Linked DNA regions of Nothobranchius furzeri. The protein of the gene in region 1 interacts with the protein of each later gene in a pairwise test. Links are inferred from orthologs where the notes say so. Each region holds a gene or a part of one and is shown on either strand. Other genes may lie near its edges.

Region 1 (7,502 bases):
TGGACCTGGTCAGTTGGTCTCTCACCGCGACTGACAAAATTTTTCTCAACGATAAGAATGGGAGAAGGGGCTCCCGGATGCCCCTCTGGGACAGAGCCAGCTGGGCATATCATGGACTCCTGGAAACAGTGGAACCTGATCTAACTCTCTCAACTGTCTGTAGAGGGTTCTGAAGATGTCTGGATATTCAAGGTTTTGGTGTCGGGTTTCCTGCTGTTTGGCCTGAGCGGTTACCTGGCTTACTGGAAAATTAACGAGCTTTCGAGGAATATTGGCTCAATCCCAGAGCTCAGGGATGGATTGCATTATGCTGTGAATGCACAAACTCAGATAATTGTCGAGATGAGTCGTAAGCTTGGAACTTTGGCTGAGATTCAGGCTCTGGCACAGAAGGTAGATTCGATCAAGGAGCAAGTGGACGGGTCAGCATAGATTGGAATAGATTAATTCACGCCATTATTGGATCTAGAGGGGTTGAGGACCAACAGAACATTAGGGCAGAGAGGAAATTATCTCGGTCTGTCCCCAAAACAATTTGTTATCTGAATCTGGTGCCCTTGACGCCTGTGAGGCTGAAGTGATTACTCCCCCTCAGAAGAAATGTGGAATGCTGCCATCGCCATGGTAACTTTCTCGCCTATCTCAGCCTGGGCGGGACTGTGACTGGTGAAGGCCGTGGAACCGTATCTAGGAGTCAATGTGCTCGCTAACCCATTTTATCTCCCTTCCCTGTCCAGTCGGAGGTGATAAACGCTGCCATCTGTGGGTGCACGCACTGAAGTAAGGAGAGTTTCCAACCCTACCTCCCCACCTAGTGGACACTTATGTTGTGTAATGTCTGAAGTCTGTATGCATTTCTGTCTGAGGTGATTTTTTGCATAGCAAAGCTGCCCTCTCTGTGGAGGGTAACCCCAGCTTTCCACAGGAGCCTCCAGCAGCACGTCTTGCTCGCGTAAACTGCTGCTTGGCCCTTCCCACGAGATGCGAAGCAGCAGGGGAGCAGCTGTCACCGACCGAGCATGAAGTCACACAACAACTTCATCAGTAAACACAACAACAAGCAGGAGAAAACTACAACATGGCTCCAAAAGGTTTGTGTTTTATGTTCTGTCCGTTTTATAATCGCCAATACGGACCTGAAAAACAAAGGAGACCGCTAGCTAGGTGATAACTTCTCACGGGGCCGCACATTTAGTAACTTTTTTTAAAGTAAAGCAACCGGAAGGCAGTACGTTTCTTTATTCTGAAAATCTCGGAAGCTTCTCTCCATTTCCGCGTTCGATTTCCTGTCTTTCCTTCCCAAAAATGTCGAACATGTCCCGTTTCAGAGGCGTCGCGCGTAGAAAATAGAACCGGCGCGTAAAGGCTGCGACATGCTGCTCCTGAGACGCGGCCGACTCGCGCTGCTGACGGCTCCAGTGGAAAGCCGGGGTAACTCTGAAGTGCATTTTTTTCCCTCCCCCGACTCTATCCTCATATAAACCCTCTTGATCTATTATTAAGGTAGCGCAACTCGGGTTGCGAATGACCACAGTCACCAATTCTTATGAGTCTATGTATGTACTGTATGTCTAATCTCAGAATTGTGTGTACTGAAACTCTAATTTCCCTCTGGGATCAATTAAGTATCTTTGAATTGAATAGAATTTTGAATCCACAAGGCACTTTGCATTGATTATTTATGGCAGTAAGTGGGTGTGGTGAGGGTGGGATGTGACTAAAATGCAGCTGAGAAACTTTCTCGTCAGTCTCCGATTTATGAAGCGGAGATTGTGTGCAGCTGTGCGTACTCCATGTTTGATAGATCACAAACCTACTTGGCATAAGTACTTTTTTTTTTTTTTTGCTGAACTTAAGTACGGTTTTAGTAAGGATTCTACGCAATGTTTGATAAATGAGACCCCTGCTGATTAAAATCAAATCTGGGAAACAGCTAAAACATGTAGGATGATGGCCCTCAGGGGACCAGGATTCTCCATCTCTGCTCAAGATAATCATGAAACGGATGTATAGGTTACCATGGTAGCATAGACTCAGCTCCACATCACCATGACAGAACTCCAGGTAGAATATAGGTTACCATGGTAGCATAGACTCAGCTCCACATCACCATAACAGAACTCCAGGTAGAACCATCATAGTGGAATATTTAATGGTTTAGTTTAAGTTGATGCCGACCAACAAGTGCCCAAACATGATCTGACTTTGTAGTAAAAGCAGCAAGTCAAACAAACATTGTCCCTACCTGCTGGCGTCCACTTTGATGGCCACACAGCAGCTCTCAGCCGCCTCTGAGACACGCTGGTCCTCCCAGGTAGACATCAGCTGCGCTGACTGCTCATCATCCCCTGAGACACGAGACAAAAATAGTGAAACACGAGACGTGGTGAATCTTTGTATTCTATCACCGAAACAGAATGTTGCAATGGTTAACAGTTAATCTGCTGACATCAGGCTCGGCCCGGACCCTGACCCAGTGCTAAGCCTGATCCCTCAGACCCTGAATCAAGTCTCCTACACCTAGACGTCATCATTCAGCTTCTAGAGGACTTCGGCTGTAGGAAACTCAACAGGTAACAAGGATATGGGTCTGACCCGAACCCAGAGGCTGATTCTGATCTGACTCAAAGGTAGAACCAGATCATGACCCTCCAGTTCTTTGACCGGAAGTTGTTACTGACTGCTGACTTAAGCTAAGGGCTAGTAGCCGTTGCTAGCTTTATGTTAGCACTAAATCCCGTAAATGAACGCGGGAAACCAGGACAACAGTACCTGCGATAACAACCACAAAGATAAAGGTGCGCTGTTTAGCATAGCTGATGGCGTCAGGAATGGAGCCCTGGAACCAACGCATCTCCGACACACGGTTATTCCTGTCAGCTTCACTGTTGATCACACTGGTACGCATGCGCACGCAGTCCTCTTCCTACTGTGGGTCACGCTCGCTGACGCACGTGCGTCTGTCCCTATCTGTAAACTCTATTATTATATTTTTGTCATCTGTTTGTTTTATGTTGTATAAAGAAAGAGCACATCATCACGTCCGCCATGCGGCAAAGTCGCAGTCTGGTTTTGTCCAGATTTATTTTTAGATACCTAACTAATGACTGGCCTCCCAACAGGGTAGTGGCGAAAAAATCACCATCATAATTTACCATAATGTGACTTTCCATAATAACATTATAATTTACCATAATATGACTTTCAATATTTCGAGAAAAAGTATTACTACATTATTAGCTCCATGGCCCCGGTCCGCAGGGGACATGCTTTTTTTTCTGTCCTAAAGCAACGGCCTTTTTCCAAGGATCACTTTTATATCTATTTTAGGCCCTGTGTCCCTAATCACCGTTTCTTTTTCATTTGGCATCAGCTGGACTAGTTTTTCTACTTTTTTCTGCTATATCCATCCGCGCTGTATACTTCCGCCCCACGTCGGTCTTAACTTTCACTTTTGGTTTTGACATTTTACTGTAAACAAGAGTTCTTTTGGACTTTTCAAATCTTTGTTTCTTGTCACATCGGAAGTAATTAAACGAAAACAATAAACACCGAGGTAAGGTGGTTAGAGTAAAAGGGTTCACATTTAAGTTTTATTTTGGCCAGCTTTCTGTTTATTACTATGACGGGGGACTTTTACTTTTGTAATTCTTCTTTTGAAGTTTGGACTTTCGCACTCCAAAACAAATAGTTCATACAGCTCCGAGTCAGTTTCTCTTCGATTAACTGGCATTTATTAATGAATGTTCATCATAGAAATCAAATTGCATTCACTGCTGTCATGGCTTGAAACTGGACCTTTGTATAATGTTTTATAGTACATCAAAGATAAGCTGAATTGGATAATTGGGTTGCAACAAAGTTCTGAGTTCTTCTGTGGAAGTAGCCTCTACATTTTGACTCTAATCTCAACTCTACCTCCTTGCTTCATGTTTTTTTCCTCTGACAGTGAACTAGTGCTTTTTGTTACTAGTTGGTTGCAGTGACATTTGTGTTTTTCAGATGAGTACTGCTGTACAGGAGGACAACTACGAGGAGGCCCTTAAAGAGCTGAAGGCGCTCCGGGTGAGAAACTCCATCCTTCCATCTTTGGCCACTAATCCAGGGTCAGGTTGCAGGGGCAGTAGCATAAGCAGGGTGGCCCAGACATCCCTCTCCCCACTTGGGCCAGCTGTTCCGGGGGAATCCTAAGGCGTTCCCTGGCCAGCTGTGAGACATAGTCTCCAACGTGTCCCGGGTCTTCCTTAAGGTCTCTTCCCAGTTGGACGCGCCCATAAAACCTCACCAGGGAGACATCCAGGAGGCGTCAACTGGATGTCAGAGCTATGCCCAAAACATGGAAGCCTGCTTGTTCGTGTTAAAAAAAGAACGGCATTTAAAGGAGTTAGCGTTAACTAGCTACTAAAGTCAGGATGCACCCACTTTTTTCCAAACCGATACAATACCAGGGTCTGAGTACTTGCTGATAGCGATTACCGATACTTCTACCACACACACAAAAAATGCAATGAATTGGAATACAGGTTTAATTTTCTTCTCTGCTTTCAACAGGAAAATACTGTGAGGTAGATAAAAAACTAAAATAATTGTCAGCGCTGCAGTATCAGCTCACAAGAGACACGGCACCCCCACACTCAGTTATGGTAAACAGTAGTTTCGCCCCTCCTTCCTTTGTTTTGAAAGGAGAAAAACTGACAAACCCCGTAGTCAGCTGGATATGAAATATGGTTCAGTATAACCTTCCTCCCTAAGTGACGGAAACATTAGACTGTTTTTGGATTTTCTCACTGTAAAATTCTTACTACATTCTCGCTACTTTCATCCAAAGCTGAACCAGCTGCAGCTTGACAACAATCCTGCACAAATCGCGGCTGGGCGGTAGAGTCAAAATCTCCTATCGGTGGCTAAGTTTACATCACATGAACAGCAGTTATACGGTGAACCACTATGTGGTATGTTGAATAAAAACAACCCAGGGTGGGACTTCAGGGTCTAAGAGATGAACACAACAATCCCAGGGACACACTATAGAGTCCCGAGGAGAGTCTTTTGAGTCAGATGGTACGATCTCAGGCTCAGATTTCCATGGAAGAAATTCAGAATCTCAAGGAGGAAGTCTTTTGGAGGTTTTAGTCCTTGGGAAAAACCATCAGGGACCTAAAATGACTGAATATAAACTAGTTGAGCTGTGCTGAACACTCATCTGGCTTTACTGTCCAAGGAAAAGATCTCTAGCTCACTCCTAACATGAATGCTGCATGTACATCCAAGCTAATCTGAGACCTTGTTTTATTTGTTAGATCCATGACTGAGTATAATCAGACCTTTGTGGAGTTCAAAAATAGCATTCAGACTGGATGTGCTGTCTGCTGTTTGATGCATTAGAATAATAACAAAAAATTCACATCTGTTAAAGCTAATGCTAATATGACAACATTTTACTGTTGGCACTAAGGAGATGTCATCTGTTTTTAAAAATTAGTCCGTCCTTCGTGTGGCTCATCATTGTCCCAGTCCGTCCCTTACACTCACCCCCCAAACTATCCAGGTAGCGGTTAGCATTTTGGTTTCTCTTGTTTGGGTGGTTTTAATGTTGGAATGGTGCTCATTTGATGAAGTAATTGTTCTGAAAATCCACTCTGGTACTGGCAGAGGTTCAACAAGCAGTCTGGGAAATCGTGGTCACAGACACACTCATCACATTCTGGCTTGGTTTTTGAGAGCTCCAGAAGATACAGTCCAACCATTTCTGCTGTTTTTGATGAGGAACGAGTAATATAATATGTTCAGATGCTCCAAAAGGTTGATTATGCATGAAATAGACCCTAGAAAATTTGTCTTCAGGCTAAAGTAGAGAAAGCTGAAGATACAAAATCCAGGCTTCTGCTGGAAAAACTGGAAGAAGATGAAGCCAAGGGAAAGGCCCAACGGGAGATGATGGAACAGTTGAATAAGCAGAAACTTTGTGAGAAAGAATTCAAGCAGCAGAAGGACAAGCTGCAGGTAGGCAGGACATCGTTTGTCCACAGAACAGGAATTAAAAATACCATCTGCTGGGTGGACGAGGCATTAAATTCAACAACCTTTTTTTTCCCTCTTCTAAAGGATGAAATCGATCAGCTTTCCAGAAAAAAGCAGGATTTACAGGAAAAACTCAGGAAATGTCGGAAACAATTGGAGACAAAGAGAGCTGAATCTACCAAACTGAAAGAGAGATTCAAGGTAATTAAGCCTAACTCTGAACTCAACTTCTTGCACTCTGGTTCTTTTTAGCCACTGTCTAGCATGTTTTAGTTGTTTCTCCGTTCCAACACACCTGATTCTAATTTGGGGGATCATCAGGCTTCATAGCCTGGTGAATAGGGGATTCAACCATTGAATCAGATGTGTTGGAGCAGGGAAACCACTTGGGGCGCTCCAGGACCAGGACTGGAGACCGATGCTACTGGTTTCAGTCTGCAATCGAGACCTATTAGTGGCTTTAACCAGACCATTAACTCATTCTAATCCTGACTTGTTCCAATCTCTAATCCAGACCTTATCCAGGCATTAACTAAATATATGGCTGCCTCTGATCAACGCTCACAAACCAGTAGCATGTTTAGATTTTTTAGCTGCTTTAGCTGCTAACAGTCACCACAGAGAAGACAGGCAGGCAAACATAAAAAACGCTTTAAAGATGAAAAATCAGGAACTAACAGGAGGAAAAATACATGAACAGGGTTGAAGAGGATTTAAAGAGCGAGCTAACACAACAGTAGGATCGGAAAACCGATGAATGAATACTGAATGCTTAAACACTGAGGGATGTGGGAAGCTGACTGAAAAAGAAACAAACGGAACCAAAAACCCACATGCCATGACAGAGAAAGCCATTTTTGCTCCTGTAGCACATTAGAGCATTATCACCCATCCACCAGGTCCAGAGAGGAAATCTAGTCTGCAATTGTAGCGGTCGAAACATCAACTAGATCATCATTACTCAAGCAGGACTAGAGCTCAGGGGTGAATTCACCTACAGATGATACAGCTTTTGTGAGCAAACCTAATTTATCATTCCTGTCTAATTCATTAGGAGCGACTCTCAGATATGCTTCTCAGAGGCGAGAGCTGTTACTGCATTTAGTCTGAAAATGTGACTGCCTCTTTAGGCTCGGTGGTGCATGAGTCTCAACTAGAAAGAAGGTAAAGAAGGTTCTGTTGCCTTCACAACCAGTGAAGTGTCAGAATTCTGTAAATAAACTGAATGCTGAAACGTCCTTAAGTGAAAATAAGAAGAAGCAGGTCTGCAGAGCCCAAAGTTCCTCTTGATGTATAAATGTAATCCTTAATGTGAGTCCTCCAGAGGAGTGGGTTTCGTCTGCATCCATTAGGACCTGCACACTGAGAAACATTTCTGTTTTTCTGCTCAGATTTATGCTCCGATTCCACATACAGAGGTGAAGTTTCTGGCTCCTATGAAAGAGAAAGAATGCACTGATGAAATGAACCACTTGATCAGA
Region 2 (7,485 bases), on another chromosome or scaffold:
GGTTCTGTAACCATCAGACGTCACCGTTCTCTGTGGTCGCAAATCATTACATTTTGTTTTCCAAGGCTCAAATCTTTTAGAGGAAGTGATTATCTGTTACATTCTAGGTCCAGGGTTGTGTGTGAGCACCAGCTGGCTGTGACCCAGTAAAGAACCTCACATGATGAACGGTAACGTGTTGCCTACATTTTTAAGAGTAAGATTTGGGAAACAAAATCCAGAGAAAACTGAAAGTGTAAGGAAATGTTTATTTTCTATTATACAGGTCCCATATCCATAGTTTTGAATGCCATAATTAATCATACCATAAGGATCAAAGTGCTTGTTTAGGTCTAACAGTGTACTAGAACAGAATTTTGTGTTTTCCAACCTTTAAAATGCTTCAGAGCAAATTCTACTGAGTTTCCTTCTCATCTGTTTGTGGATTGGAAGCTGAAAGAAGTCTTGATTTTGTTTAATCAGTGCAGACTGATGGATCCCTTTACATCAGCCTTTTAACAGTGGGTAAATACATTGTTTTCTAAAGTTCACGACTCTAAAACAAAAGCAGATCAGCAGCCAGAGGATGTAAAGATCAACTGCTGCAATGTGATGTAACCGAGGCACATCTAGTGCAGCTCCCTCACAACGGTGCTGGAAATGGAGAAGAAGCATTGCACATATTAAGAGATGAAGGGCTACTCCTCAATGGAGCGGATGTATCTTTCATATGCTGGTTCATCCATCAGACTGTCAAGCTCAGCAGGATTAGCAATTGTCATCTTCATCAGCCAGCCTGTGAGGAAAGCCAGGGTTAGCTGGGATTCAAAGGCAAACATGCTTGAACTGATCAGTGACGTGCTGCTGATGAAGGTCTGTGAGGGCTTTAGTACTTAAGCGAGTTTAAAAATACAATCATAAGGAGAGGCACAAGAATCTCTGTAGATGCTTAGCGTGATGACATCCACGTGGATCAGGAGCTGCGGAACCTAGCCTCAGGCTTAAACTGTACTGCCACCTACTGTCCAACCTTGGAACCTGAGAGCTCATGAAAATAAAGTTGGGAAACAGAATTGTTGAATTGTTTGTGTCAATACTTTAACTGGATACATATGAAAACAACAACTTAAGCAGTTATTTATATAAATAGAAAATAATCAGGTGTGAATATGAGGATTAATTAGTGCAACTTGCAAATTTACACCAGTTATCAGTAGTTTCTCATAAGCTCTGTCAAATTTCCATTCTTGTTTAGTTGGTCCATTTCAGAAGAACAATGGTTGTAAATAAAAAATTTGCAAAACTGTGCAAACAAAAAAACATTATTCTTTTCTACAATTTAAAATCTACCCATTAACACACAGATTATTACTTTAAAATTGGGAATATATCGGCATCGATATCTGTATTTTTATCATATCTGTATCGGTCTGATAAATAAAACCGAGCCGATATTAACGACCAATATTTTTTCCATCTTGTCTACATTTGTTTCCCTGTTTCAGAGGGTGAGGGGGGTGATGTGCATTTGTTTAGTCATGTGAGCAGTGAATGAAATCATCTCAGGAGCATAACTGTGTGTGGTGTGTGTACATAAAATGGTAAATTCAGCTTTAATCATTTTTTACACAAATCTGCCGATTTTAGAAGCAATCAGTATCGGCAATTATTGGTTATCGGTCATAACAGTGATCTAAATATCTGTATCGACCCAAAATTTCATATCGGTGCATCACCACTTTAAAAACTTACCATTTTCAAAGACCTAAATGAGCTAAATAAACTGAATAATGTGTACAAAATTACCATCTTTGTAGCAAGACTTGTTGACCAGACCAGGGTTGTCCGCCAGCAACGTGTTGACCTCTACAACTTCTCCAGTCAAAGGTGAATAAAGCTCACTGGCTGCTTTCACACTTTCCAGGGCTCCAAACTCATCTATGACAGTGTGACAAACAAAAATATTTATCATCAGCTTTATTTGTATTGCACTTAACAATCCAAACGATACCACAGGATTTACACCAAAAATGAGTCATTTTGGAAATGAAACACACTCAATAAGGTTGCATTATGAGGTCAAAGCAGCTCTGTAAATATTTACAAACATGAGCCATTTATCACAAGACTTCGATGTCAATTATATCACAAAACCTGAAAACAAAAACAACTTAGAAATATTTGTTTACAGTACAGTATTGTTGATTTTTACCGAAGATCAAATAAGCATTTATAACAACACAACAATAAAAATTAATTCTAATGGCAAATTCAACTACTGTTTGTCTGATTGATTGGTTGCAATTTTTATTATGGCAGAAAAAGAAACACCACCTACATACACCTTAATTTATGGACAGTTTCCTGTTAAATAAAAACTGGCTCTTGCCTTGAAAAATCTCATAACTGTAAATAAAATGACACAAAAGTGTATATTTTAATCTATGATTAAATAATGTCAAAGCTAGAGATGAATTTTAAATCTAACCTTTTCATTAATAAAAAAATCAAACGATAGGAGTGTAAGAAAATATCAATACACAGAAATATAGCAATATGTTGTGATACTGACTCGATATTCGTGAAGCAGTGCATCGACTGTTATTGAAAATTTACAGTATTCATTTAAATTATTCCGTTTTTACATCCTTCATCCTGACAGGAGATCTCACCATTACACCGGATGTGTCTTGGAAGAGCCTGGCCTGGGGTTTCCAATTAATTTCAGGCTAAAATTTTGCAAATATCATCTGGATTTGAGTATCACACTATGTCACATCATCTCCCTGATATATCATATCTCTAGATTCGTGCCAATACACACCTATGTACGGCACAGAGGATTTAGCTTTTTCCCCCATTTGCACCAAAGAGTGTAAACAGATTTTTCATGCGGCTGTTTATACTTTCAGAATCATAATCTTAAAATGAATTTTGAAGTGGTGGGGAGTCTGGATTAATTTTAGTTATAGAGATTAAACAGAAGTGGCCTAAATGTAGTTCAGCAGAGAATACACACACACACACACACACACACACACACACACACACACACACACACACACACACACACACACACACACACACACACACACAAATGGCTCTGAAAATCTGAATCGGTGAATGTAGAACATTGAAAATTAGTTTTCGTGTTGTCGATGCAAACATCTCAAATATAACTGGATAATGCAACAGCATTCAAACAAATGAAGGATTTTATTGTTTTAATATGAAAAGGGCTCTGTGAGAGCCAGCAAACCCACGAGGGACACTTCATACCTTGCTGTGCCAGCTGTGTTCCCACCTCTGGTAGTCCACAGTAAACTACATCTCCCAGAGCCTCCTGCGCGCGGTCAAAAACAAGATCAAAGGTAACTAAAACATGTACTTTAGCACGTTTATCTAACTGTGCACGCGCGCAGTTGGGAAACTTACTTGTGCAAAGTTGCTGATACCGACTGTACCTACTCCGTCATCTTCTACTCGAATCCATTCATGCTTGTCTGTGAATTTAAGTGCTGCGAAACAACACAACTCGGTCAGAGATCTGTGCAAAAGTCATTGAAACACACCACTACCCGCAGCAGCGCCGCCAAATGAAGCGTCTTTCCATTTGGCTAACGGTAACCTTCTGCTAACCAACGTGTTAGCAGAAGCTACTCTAAAACCGATTCATAGAGAAATACCTGCTGATATTCGGCTAGAAGAGGCTAGCGTTCTTCCAAAATAAGGCTTAGGGGCCAGCTGTAACGGACAACGCGATGCCGAGCGAGTGAGTAAAGGCAAAACTGTGGAAAAGTTGGAAGAGAAAGAACGGAGCAGCACACAGACGGCCATCTCTGTCGCTTACTGATGAGAAGAAGGTCGATTTGTTCTGTGTTGCTGTTGGAAACAGCAGCGGCGTTTTGCTCCCACCTACTGGTCAAAGTTAGGCACGACAAGCGAACGGGGACTTCCTCCTGAACGTGAAAACACATTTTTATTCGTTTGTTTTATTTATTTTATGTAACCTTCATTTAGCCAGATGAGTCGATTGAGAATTCATTCTCATTTACAACGACGATCTGGCCAAGAGGCAGCAGCAGCAGACACATAAGTAGCTTTATACCAAAGAAAAACAGAAAATAAAAACAAACAAGATCAAAATGAGATAAAGACAGTTAGATATAAAGACAAAGGACTTAAAACAATCTTTTAGCACTCAGAAGCAGGCACATTGACCAGAAACTATTGATTGCAATGGATTTGTCTTTTCACATAATTAAGAGAAGAGAATTAAATAAAACATATGATTCAACATATGTAAAACTATTTATAAGTGGGCTAAAATTCAAAGGAACATGTATTTAAAATTTTATGGGTAATATAGCAGCCTGAATTTAAAAAAATACTTCCTCTTCCCAAAGAAGTTGGGATGAACTAGGGTGTTGTCTTTACTTTGAAGGGATTTTTCATTTTGACTGTCTGAGATCATTATTTAAATTTAAATATCTGAATTATTTTGTTGAATAAATCAAATCAAGCAAGCTAATATTAATCTTGTTAGTTTTGTACTTTTTATTGTCATTTCTTTGCAGATTCTTTCAAAGGATGTTGATAAACGTTTGCCTTGCAGCAAGATCTCCATTGCACAGACCCTTCTCTGTCACATTTATGCTTTGTTGTCACTTGAATTTGCTTTTTTCTGCTGGTAATTTAAAAAAAATCTCAAGAGGGATGTACGCAGAAGATTTTTTACTAAAGTAGTCCAAATCTTGCCAGTCATCAGCAGATCTAGCAGAACTTAAGAAGCCTTTTTAAATAATACTGAAACAGCTTTAAGAACCAAGAAAGGAAGGCTGATTTCTTTAATGCACCATGATCTGGATGATTGAGAATGTTACACAGTGGGGAAAAAAGTAGCATTTGGCAGCAACCAGTTATGCAAGTCGTTCCACTTAAAATATGAGAGATCTGTAATTTGCAACATAGGCGCACTTCAACTGTGAAATACTGAATGCAATAAAAAAATTCTAGGAAATCACTGTATGATTTTTAAAATATTTATGTTCTGCAGAAAATAAGTATCAAGCATCTACAAACAAGCAATAGTTCTGGCCCTCACAGACCTGTTACTTCTTCAGGAAGTTTCTCAGTCCTCCACTCGTTAGCTATAAAAAAGGCACCTGATCAGATGTTCAAACATTCACACGCCAACCTCCACCATGGCTAAAATCAGTCAACAAATTGGTCATGTAACTTCTGCGGTCAAGTCAAACTTGAAGAACTTGGGTGTTGTTTTTGACCGATCATTGTTCCTTAAAGCCACTCAAAAACATTGGTCCGAAACTGTTTTTATCATTTGAGAAATGTCTCCAAACTGCGAACGCTGGTGTCAAAGCATGAACTTGAAATGGTCATCCATGCCTTTATCTCCTTCCATCTAGATTACTGTAACACATTCCAGATGAAAAAAGCCATTGACTACCTTCAGTTGGTCCAGAACTCTGCAGAGAGGCTCCTAACTGGAGCAAACAGAAGAGCACACATCACTCCTATTCTGATGTCTCTGCACTGGTTACCCGTTAACTTTAGAGTTCATTTTAGAATCCTGATTATAACTTTCAATGCTCTACATGGTCAAGCTCCTCCCTACATTACTGAACTGTTAAAGCCTTCTGCTCCAACCCGAGCCCTCAGGTCCACACACCAGAACCTCCCAGAAGTTCCAAAGACCCGATATAAAAGTCAAGGCGATTGCTCTTTCACACTGTTCATCCTCTACTTTGGAGTGATCTTTTATTTTTATGTTGTGTTGACAGACTGGACACCTTTATAGAGCAGCTGAAGACCCTTTTATTTGTTTTCTTCATTTGTACAATGGCCTTATCTGATTAATCATCTTTTATTTGTTTTATGTGTTGTAGTTTTGATTTATGACCATTTTATTTAACATTTTGTTTTAAAATGTGCTTTTCTGATTTTAATTATCTTTCATTTGTTTTTTGATATATGTTTTTTGGACTTTATGATCATTTCATGATTTTATGACTTTACTGTTTATTTTGTTGATCTTTGTGATTTTCCTTTCTGTGATAAATGCTATATAAATAAACCTTTCTTACCAAGACCAGAGAGCTGTCTATGAACACCAGAGACAGGATTTTACACCTGGGCTGTGAGACTAAAACTGGGATGAGCCAATAGTCAATCAGCTTGGTGAGAAGACATCAACTGTTGGATAAAATGGAATAAACACAAGATCACTGACAGTCTCCCTCGACCTGGAACTACATGCAAGATCTCACTTCGTGGGGTACAAATGATCTTGAGGCTGGAAGAGGAGCGGGATGACGTGGGTGTGTTCGGAAAACTCTGTCAGAAGCAGAGCACAGGGATGCAGAACCACCTGTAAACGGTTCAGGGAAGTTTTTCTCAGGCAAGTGAAAAGCGAGTTGCAAAAGTCCACGCATGAGGAAATGAAGGTGTTGATAACAATCTCAAGTTCAGAACGCGACTTAGTTAAGAAATGTTCCTGAGATGAAAGAAGAGCAAACAAGAGAACTGACATGGGAATCCAGAGTGGGTCAAAGGCCACACCAAGAATCCCGACAGAGGGTTTGGTGAGAGAAGCTAGCTGCAAGAACACCATTCCCACTGTGAAGCATGGGGGTGGAAACATACTTCTCTCCAAAGGCTGCATGGTGGCGCAGTTGTTAGCACTGTTGCCTCGCAGCACGAAGGTTGCAGGTTTGAAACTCAGCTGTGGCCTTTCTGTGTGGAGTTGTGTGTTCTCCCCATGCATGCGTGGGTTTCCTCCGGGTACTCTGGTTTCCCCCACAGATCACAGCATGCCCTATAGGTTATAAATTGTAAGTCGCTTTGGATAAAAGCGTCTGCCAAATAAATAAACATAAACATAAACAAAGGGGACAGTACGACTGATCCATGTTAATTAAGGAAAGGACCAATGGGGCCATGTAGATTTTGGGCAAAAGCCTCCTTCCATCAGTGAAGATGAAATGTGGCTGGATCTTCCAGCATGAAAAGGATCCCTAACACACCGCCTGAGCAAAGAAATTGCTGAATTAAAAGCATTTCAAGGTTCTGGAGTGGCCTAGCCAGTCTCCAGGCCTCAATCCAACAGATAATCCGTGGAGGGAGTTGAAAGTCTGCGTTGCCCAGCGACAGCCCCAAAGCATCACAACTCCAGAGATCTGCAAGGAAGAATGGGCCAAAATACCAGCTAGTGTGTGCAAACCTGGTGAAGACAGGAAACATTTGACCGCCATCATTGCCAACCACGGTTACTTTACTAACTATTGAGGTGAACTTTTGTCCAAATATTTTTCTTCACCAAGTATAAAAAAAATCTTTCAATTCAATTTGATTTCCAGGATTTTTTTTTTTTACTTTCTGCCTCTCAGTTGAAGTGAATCGTGATGAAAATTACAGCAGTCCACTCATCTTTTCAAGGAGGGAGAACTTTCACAATTAGTGCAAATATTTTTTTGCCTAGCTGCATAT
Region 3 (7,624 bases), on another chromosome or scaffold:
TTGACTGTTTTGTTTTCTTGTGAAAATTGTTGGAAAGAGGTAAAATTTAACTTGATTTACACCAGAGCCAGTGCGGTGCCAGTTATCTCCGTGACGGTAAACGAGGGAAAAACAAATTGATCGGATCCTGCACGTCTTTTAACACATTGGTCAGAATTGACGCACTTTGTTTTCATTTAGTTGTTTAAAAAAAAGTCGGGCTCGGGCCGGGCCAGAGAATCCTGAAAACCTTTTCGGGCCGGGTCGGGCTGGGGCTCCACCCCCTCGGGCCGGGCCGGAAACGGGCTCAGATTTTAGGCCCGTGCAGGGCTCTACCGGTGGTTACTGGGTGGACTGGGAAGATCCACATCCAGGAGTTTGGTGCTGTTCAATCTTTCCTCAGAGGCACAAGTAATGCTCAGTGGAAGATTCTGGATGTTCGTCTCAAATCAACAAGCCTCCTTCACATTCCCAAGATTGAGATTGAGAATTGAGACTGCTGCTGCTCTATGTGGACAGTTTGCAAACCTCATCTCTGTGGTTTGACGTGTCATTGTTGATAAGATCCAAGACTTAACAGTCTGCACCTGGCAAAATTTCCTGAAGTTCTTCAAACATCTTTGTTTACAAACCAGGCTTGTTTCTGTTACACCGCCATGAGCACATAACGACTAGTTTGGATAGTAAAGTCATTTAACAGCTGTCCTGTGCTCCCTAGCTTCTGATCTACCAAACAGCCAATCAGAGCACAGAATGAGCTCTCAAACACACAGTGACTTAAAACAAAGCATTTAAGGCCATCCTATAGAAAATAATGACCTCTGAACACTAAGGCACGTTAAATTTGACAACTGTAAGCCTGAAATATAATTTTGCAAACTAAATCACTCTTTGTAGAGTTTTGTGGAGAACAAGTAAATGTCACAGTTTGCAATTTGCAGAAGTAATTAATAATTAAACTCCAAACTTCCCAAATTGATCCTCATCCCTAATCTTTCATGCGGTATGGGCTGGAGGTGTGACACAAAAACAAGGATGCACCCAGGCAGAAGAAGCTGAGGGTCACATCTGTGGTTGGCTCAAAACCAGACTCTAAAGAATGTGGCTGAGCAGAGAACGCTAAAAAAAATGATTGTCCATTCGAGACGACACCAGGCACCAACTTCACACCATGATCAACAACCAAAGAAGGCTGGTCAGTGACACGCTGCTTCTGCCAAAGTCAAGGACCTACAGGAACTCCTCCATCCTACACGCAATCATGCTACTGTTAGATATGTGTGGCTGCTGCTCCTGCTGGAAAACACAATTTCTCAGAGGGCCTTTCCAGAGGGATCAGTAAAGTTAATCTGAGACTGAAATCCCCGTTTAGTAACAAAAACAGGCAAAGCAGAAATATGTAGCCATGCAAACTCCATCAGACTTTCCCCGAAGCTCAAGACAAGAACGTTCGCCCCGCCTTTTTAAGACTATAAAACAATGCCCTCTGTAGGACCCAACCCCTCACCATAGCAACCCCTATCCCCAGAAGATATGAATTCAAGCTGTGCAGCACATTCTGATGTTAAGGAAAAACAAATGAAAGCTAAGCAACCGGGATATCCTGGTTAGTGACCTCTAAAGTCAACCGCCCTGCCATTTTCCTGTCATAGGATGGCTGGATTGTCATATGGAGTGTTGAATGTATACGTCTATTCAAAAAGCCCATCCCTGTATGTTAGAAATATGAAAAGTGTTGCTTACAAGCTCCGTCTTTTGCCTGTAGTGTTCTTCGGGTGAGGAAAGGTCCCACTGGTCCTGCAGGCTGAGGTCAATAGGTCTGTAGAAGAAAGGATACATCTCCGACACGTTGTCCAGACTGGACAGGGTCTACGGAAAGTCACGAAGAGAGGTAGTTAGTTGGCAGTTGGCACAAAGTTGGAGCATTTTTAAACATATTGCTTAAAATTCTCTAAACATGCCGATGCCACTCAATAAATTCAATGTTTGTCGACAAAAGGAATGATTTTATTTGCCTTTCAAATGTACTGTCCTGTGAAAATCTCATCCAGTCATTGTGAACATCCCATTTTCTTTATGACTGGAACATAATCCATCCAACAAACTGCCCTCTGACCATCTCTACCCCTCTGCACACACCCCTTTTAGAAACAAATCACACATTTGTAGCTTGGAGCAGCTGAACCAGAGCCAGCTGGTGTAACGGACTGAATGTTTGTCGTTTGTAAAGGGAAACGTTAAGGTGACGGACCTGTTGTCTGTGAACACAGCCTGTCCATGTTCAGCTGTCAGAGCTGTCAGTGTGTCATTGGGCGTGTGTATGAGTGTGTGTGTCGGGGGGGGGGGGGGGGGGCATCTGAGAGGAGAGCACATCTGAGGAGGTTCAAGTTGGGTTCTGAATGTTTTGAGCTGTTGTGGGGTCTTCCCACACCGTTGGTGGCACAGAGCTGCTGTGTTTATGAAGAATTAACCAAGAAACATAAAAATGTCACACACTATGCTACCTAATAAATGTCACATGATCATGCACATCACATTAGAAATTATGGTGAGAAAACCTAACAACAATGGGTTGAAACCAATTCTGGATCCTCGAGAATAAGTATTTTGCATCCCTGTGTTTTGGAGGTGTGGCTTAAGGGGGAAAGCCTGAAGAAAGGGGCTTGAACCTTTGAACTAATCCAAAAGTTGCTTGATCAGCGAGATGAACACCACCCATTATACCTCAATGGAGTGTGCAATGTTGAGGCACTGCTCCATGCCTGGGATGTCAAGCTGAAGCACGCGCAGATCTTTGCACTTGATGGTAATGGTCCCCGAGGAGGCTGCTATCCTGCACAAAAACAAAACAGTACTTTGGATTTTCAGAGAAAATTACATCCTTGTTTTTGGACAATGCTTTAGCAGTGCAGGAGACTCAACTTGTCGAAGAGGAAGGCAAACGTAGCCAGCAGTCTGTGGAAGGGGACGTTCTTATCCCCACAAACTGCATGTGCAACAACTGCTTTCTCTTTTGTCACTGGCAGGCATAGAGGAGTCTGAGCAGGGCTTTCACATGACGGAAAGCAGCAGCAAGCAATGCAAAAGCTTGTGTTATGGGAGAAAAAGTTGCTGCAATCATTTTAGCAAACATCCTTCTTCAGCACTGTGGGCAGCAGCAGCAAACAGCAACACCAACAATGTCCTAACCTTTCACTCTGGCCTGCTTTAGAGAGGAAGCCGGAATAGCCCAAAAGGTTTTCCACACTGGTTCAAAAAGATTTCAGGGATTAAATTACACATAGAGTCACAGATTGGGTTTCATTTGTTTTGGGAAATGTTAAATCATTTCATAGCAAAAAGCTGATTTAAAGTTGTGGAAATCTGAAGTTTAATGAGAAATTAAAATGATGACTTTCTGTCCTCCTCTCCTTCCTCACCTCTTCTCAATGGCATCAATGTTCCTGAGCAGCAAGAGCACGTGCCTGGAGCTGCCCACCTCCCTGTCCGAAAACAGCAGGTGGTGTCCGGTGATGCAGAGGGTCCCTCTGCTCGGTGGGTGCAGCGGCTGCCGGAGCTCAACATCCTCCACGTTGGCTGTCTTGATGTGCTCAGAAAACTCCATCAGCGCCTGCTTTCGTGACTTTTAATTTTAAACCTTGTCACCAAAAATCCCCTCCTCGCCTTTTGATTGGGAAAATGAAAGTAAGCTTCCTCTTACGCGCCCCGAGCTGGTTGGACAGCGCTCTGTTTGCTTCACCACGATAAGGAGCCTATAAATAGATTTACGCTTCATGTTTCTCTGATCATCGCAGAAAGTTTCTGAGTTTCAGCAGCAGCAGCCAGCTGAACACCAGGCAGCTGTGGAAGTAGAAAAATGATCTGGCTGAGGTGACAAAAGACGGAAGTGCGCGTTTCCTCTGAGAGTCAAGAGGTCTGATCTCATTTTAACGGCAAAATTTGTTCAGCGGACAGGCAGCAGCGTGTGTGCAACATATTTAATCACCGCTAGGTGGCGGCATGAGCACGTGGTCAAAACAGCTGTGCGGTCCATCCTAGAAATAACCAACTTTTTTATGAAGCGTAATTTTATGTCACACATTTAAACACAATTTAAAATGTTTATGCAAATAAAATTGTAACGTCCTCTATTGGTGGATAAGGAGAAGGACGGAGAGTAACACAGAGGCGTGTGCTTCAGGTGTTAAAATTGTAAACAATGATTTTATTAAAAGGATTTTAAAATGACAAAAAGCTCCAAATCTAAAAGTACGTAAAACAGTGTTTAAAAGGCCATGGTTTTATGTTTAAAACAGACATCCGAATGCTCCCAAGCATTCACACACAAAGTCCACACAAGTTTGGGAGCCAAGAGGAAACCAGCACTCTGGTCCCTCGTCTGTTAAAAACCTCTAAAAGTTGTTAAGCTTCACCAAGCTTAAAACAACTAAAACCTATTTAAACGCCATTAAAACAAAAACAATTGGAGCACATGAGAGAATTGGCGCATTTTTTCTTTCATATTTTTTCATTAAACTGAGGCTTTTCTATGAAATCGATTATTGATCATAACTTTTCCTCAGAACCCCACTTCAAAAACAGTGAACTATTTAACATAGAAAAAAAACATTATGTGCAGCATTCTAGGCATTCTCTCTCTCTCTCTCTCTCTCTCTCTCTCTCTCTCTCTCTCTCTCTCTCTCTCTCTCTCTCTCTCTCTCTCTCTCTCTCTCTCTCTCTCTCTCTCTCTCTCTCTCTCTCTCTCTCTCTCTCTCTCTCTCTCTCTCTCTCTCTCTCTCTCTCTCTCTCTCTCTCTCTCTCTTAAATCATCCACCCCTCCCATCCTCCGCGGGATGGGCGGCCACTCCACTTCTCCCTGTTAAGACGGCTTCATGGACCTGTTGCGCAGCAAAGAGCGGCTCCAACATGAACCGTGAAGCTTTTTCTCCTGTTGCGAAGAAGGATTTCCAGGAGTTTGGAGCTGACAGCTCGGAGGGAGACGCGGAGGACCTGGACAGCGTCAAAGCGCTGACGGAGAAGCTGAAGCTGCAGACGCGCAGACCGTCCTATCTGGAGTGGCAGGAGCGACTCCAGAGTCACCCGTGGACGGACAGGAACCCAGAGGACAGTCCCGACTCTGGAGGAGACGTCTTCTCTGTCCCTGCAGCTCTGAGAAGCGAGAACTCGGACCTGGCTGTGCGCAACATCTGCGGCTTTGATACCATTGATGATGCTCTGGAGTTTCTGAGGAAAGAGCTCGTGAGTTCCCCCTGGTCACGAATGCATTTATAATCTGTCACCGTCTAAACAAGAATGCATTTTATTTCAGTTTCATTCAGAAAGGATGGATGATCTGATTAATCCAGGATGACTCAGACTAGAGTTTGTGAAACATCTGATAACTGCTTCCTCCCAGTCTCAGCTTGCAGCTCACTCCGCCAGATATTTGATAAGAAGATGAGATAAAACCCTTCAGAGTTCCTTCCTACTAACGTTCTTCTTTCTTTCTTCTCTCTCAGAGGGAGATGCAAGTCCAGGACAACCGCCTGGCCCGTCAGCTGATCCGTCTGCGTGTGGAGATCCACCGGCTGAAGGTGGAGCAGGTGTGCCACCGCCACAAGGAGATGCTGGACGACGCCACCTACGAGCTGGAGGAGTGCGAAGAGGAGTCGGACCTGCTGTGTGACATCCCCATGAAGGCCGCCTTCGCCCTGTCCACTCCTCTGAAACACCTGGGCCTCACCAAGATGAACATCAACTCCAGACGTTTCTCACTGTGCTGAAACTGTTTCCTGGTTAGAAAACTAAAGCCTGTGCACACCGTTGGGACCGTCAGAGCTTCCTGCTGAATCTGAGTTTACTCCGAAAACCACGACTGATGTGGAACAGAATGCACATTATTCCAATTAACTTAGAAGTTGTGTGATCTGTTGATGCAATAACAACATTTTGATTGTGCCAAAGGGGCGCAGAGAGGAGTTGGAAAGGATGCAATGCACATTTTCAGATTTTACAAGCAGTTAGATGGGTTGTGACCCCAATTTGAAAGCAATCACGTGATAAGAGCTGCAAACAGGAAGGAAAAGTGCCTTTTTAAAGCAAAATATTCGCATTTCAAATTGTTTCCAAGCAGTTTTGTTTCTAGCAAGTTGCTTTGATGATGTCAAAGACTTCATACGTTGGGCCTTTTGGCATCAGATTTTTTTTAAGTTCATAGAATCTTTAAAATAAACAGAATTCCTTCATCCAGGAAGCACAAACAGTTTTTGCACCTCTCCTTAACAAACCACAAATATCTTTATGGCCTCAGCACGACAGTGAGCAGACACAGGAGGCTGTTTTGTTTCCCAGCGGCACGTCTAGATGCTGCAGAGCAGCAGTTACATAAGGCTGGAAAGTGACCAAATGCTTTCTGGAGCTTGGGGGACAATGACAGGCATAAGTAATTTGTTTTCAATTCAATTCAAATTCAAAAATACTTTATTAATCCCAGAGGGAAATTGATTGCTGTAGTAGCTCAGAATAATAATAATAATCAAGTCATCATAGAGTTGTTGTATATTACAATGGCTGTTGGCAGGAAGGATCTCCAGTAGCGGTCAGTGTTGCAGCAGAACTGAAGAAGCCTCTGACTGAAGACACTCTTCCGTTGTCGGACAGTCTTGTGAAGAGAATGCTCAGGGTTGTCCATCATTTTCTTGATTCTCTGGAGAATCCTTCTTTGCTTTATCTCCTCCAGCGGTTCCGAAACTGCCGAAACTCTGGCTGAGTCCTTGAAAGGGCTTGGAGTTCCTCCATCTTGTTGGCCAGTGATCTCACATTGCCCATTATGATCGATGGAAGAGATGGTTTGAATTTCCTCTTTCTCTGTCTCCGTTTTGCTCCCGCTCTGCACCCACGCTTCTTGCGTTTTAGCTCATTTGGGATTTGTGGCTTCAGTTGAGGTATTATTTCAGCCTTTCAGCTGCTCCCGATTGCAAATCAGCTTGTTGCCATGGTTATGCATCATAACAAATGCTCAAAAAGTGAAAAAAGCTAAAAAAAATAGCAGCAAAAATCCTCCAAGCTTCACAGCACCAAAAACAAAAAAGTAAAGTGTCCAAAAATATACAGTTTTTCTTGAGAAACTAGAAGAAAAAACATCCAAGAAAAGGCAAAACTTACATATAGTCAACAGAGCTACTCCAACATGCAGCCACCCAGAGCAGCACAGTTCCGGAAAAACCGTTCCTCCTGGAAATCCTTCTTTTATGGTTTAACAAGCAATACGATGAATATGTTTTACTTTCCATCAGATCTGAATGTTTTGTACAGTTTTAGATCACAAACACTGTAACACAAATGTATATTTGCATGCAATGATGAAAAATATATGTTGCACGTTAGACACAAGGATTAAATGACCCTTTCATCTCCGTGTTTGTTATAAAATGCACCTCATGAGGGTGCAGGAAGTTAAAAGTTTGCAAAACTCATTATTAAATGAACCGAAAGCACATTTTTGTTATTTCTTTATTATCTTTCTGTCCCTCCTTGAACCGTCACCTTATCGTGGTGGAGGAGTTTGAGTGCCCTAATGATCCTAGGAGCTATGTTGTCTGGGGCACTTAGTGCCCCTGGTAGGGTCTCCCATGACAAATTGGTCTTAGGTGAAGGGTGAGACAAA

What was found. The genes of interacting proteins can lie anywhere in the genome.
Region 2: the proteins of nmi (region 1) and glycine cleavage system H protein, mitochondrial interact in binary tests that used the Homo sapiens proteins (3 or more experiments, as listed by UniProt). The two-hybrid records come from large-scale screens. The link is inferred for Nothobranchius furzeri from reciprocal best matches to the Homo sapiens genes NMI and GCSH.
Region 3: the proteins of nmi (region 1) and zgc:154055 interact in binary tests that used the Homo sapiens proteins (3 or more experiments, as listed by UniProt). The two-hybrid records come from large-scale screens. The link is inferred for Nothobranchius furzeri from reciprocal best matches to the Homo sapiens genes NMI and MTMR9.

What each region holds. Positions count from the first base shown.
Region 1 is NC_091746.1:33,695,393-33,702,894, reverse strand, and holds the start of nmi (N-myc-interactor), read left to right. Parts: upstream 1-3,427; 5' UTR 3,428-3,556; intron 3,557-4,002; coding exon 4,003-4,065; intron 4,066-5,844; coding exon 5,845-6,003; intron 6,004-6,105; coding exon 6,106-6,222; intron 6,223-7,412; coding exon 7,413-7,502. Other genes in the region: ubxn4 (UBX domain-containing protein 4), read right to left, coding at 2,246-2,348, 2,773-2,908. UniProt on the Homo sapiens protein: Acts as a signaling pathway regulator involved in innate immune system response.
Region 2 is NC_091744.1:70,842,752-70,850,236, forward strand, and holds glycine cleavage system H protein, mitochondrial, read right to left. Parts: upstream 3,857-7,485; 5' UTR 3,817-3,856; coding exon 3,666-3,816; intron 3,498-3,665; coding exon 3,415-3,497; intron 3,323-3,414; coding exon 3,259-3,322; intron 1,918-3,258; coding exon 1,786-1,917; intron 776-1,785; coding exon 678-775; 3' UTR 229-677; downstream 1-228. UniProt on the Homo sapiens protein: The glycine cleavage system catalyzes the degradation of glycine. The H protein (GCSH) shuttles the methylamine group of glycine from the P protein (GLDC) to the T protein (GCST).
Region 3 is NC_091758.1:35,744,192-35,751,815, forward strand, and holds the start of zgc:154055 (myotubularin-related protein 9), read right to left. Parts: upstream 3,857-7,624; 5' UTR 3,584-3,856; coding exon 3,399-3,583; intron 3,226-3,398; coding exon 3,169-3,225; intron 2,813-3,168; coding exon 2,704-2,812; intron 1,849-2,703; coding exon 1,723-1,848; intron 1-1,722. Other genes in the region: protein FAM167B, read left to right, coding at 4,885-5,217, 5,478-5,741. UniProt on the Homo sapiens protein: Acts as an adapter for myotubularin-related phosphatases. Increases lipid phosphatase MTMR6 catalytic activity, specifically towards phosphatidylinositol 3,5-bisphosphate and MTMR6 binding affinity for phosphorylated phosphatidylinositols.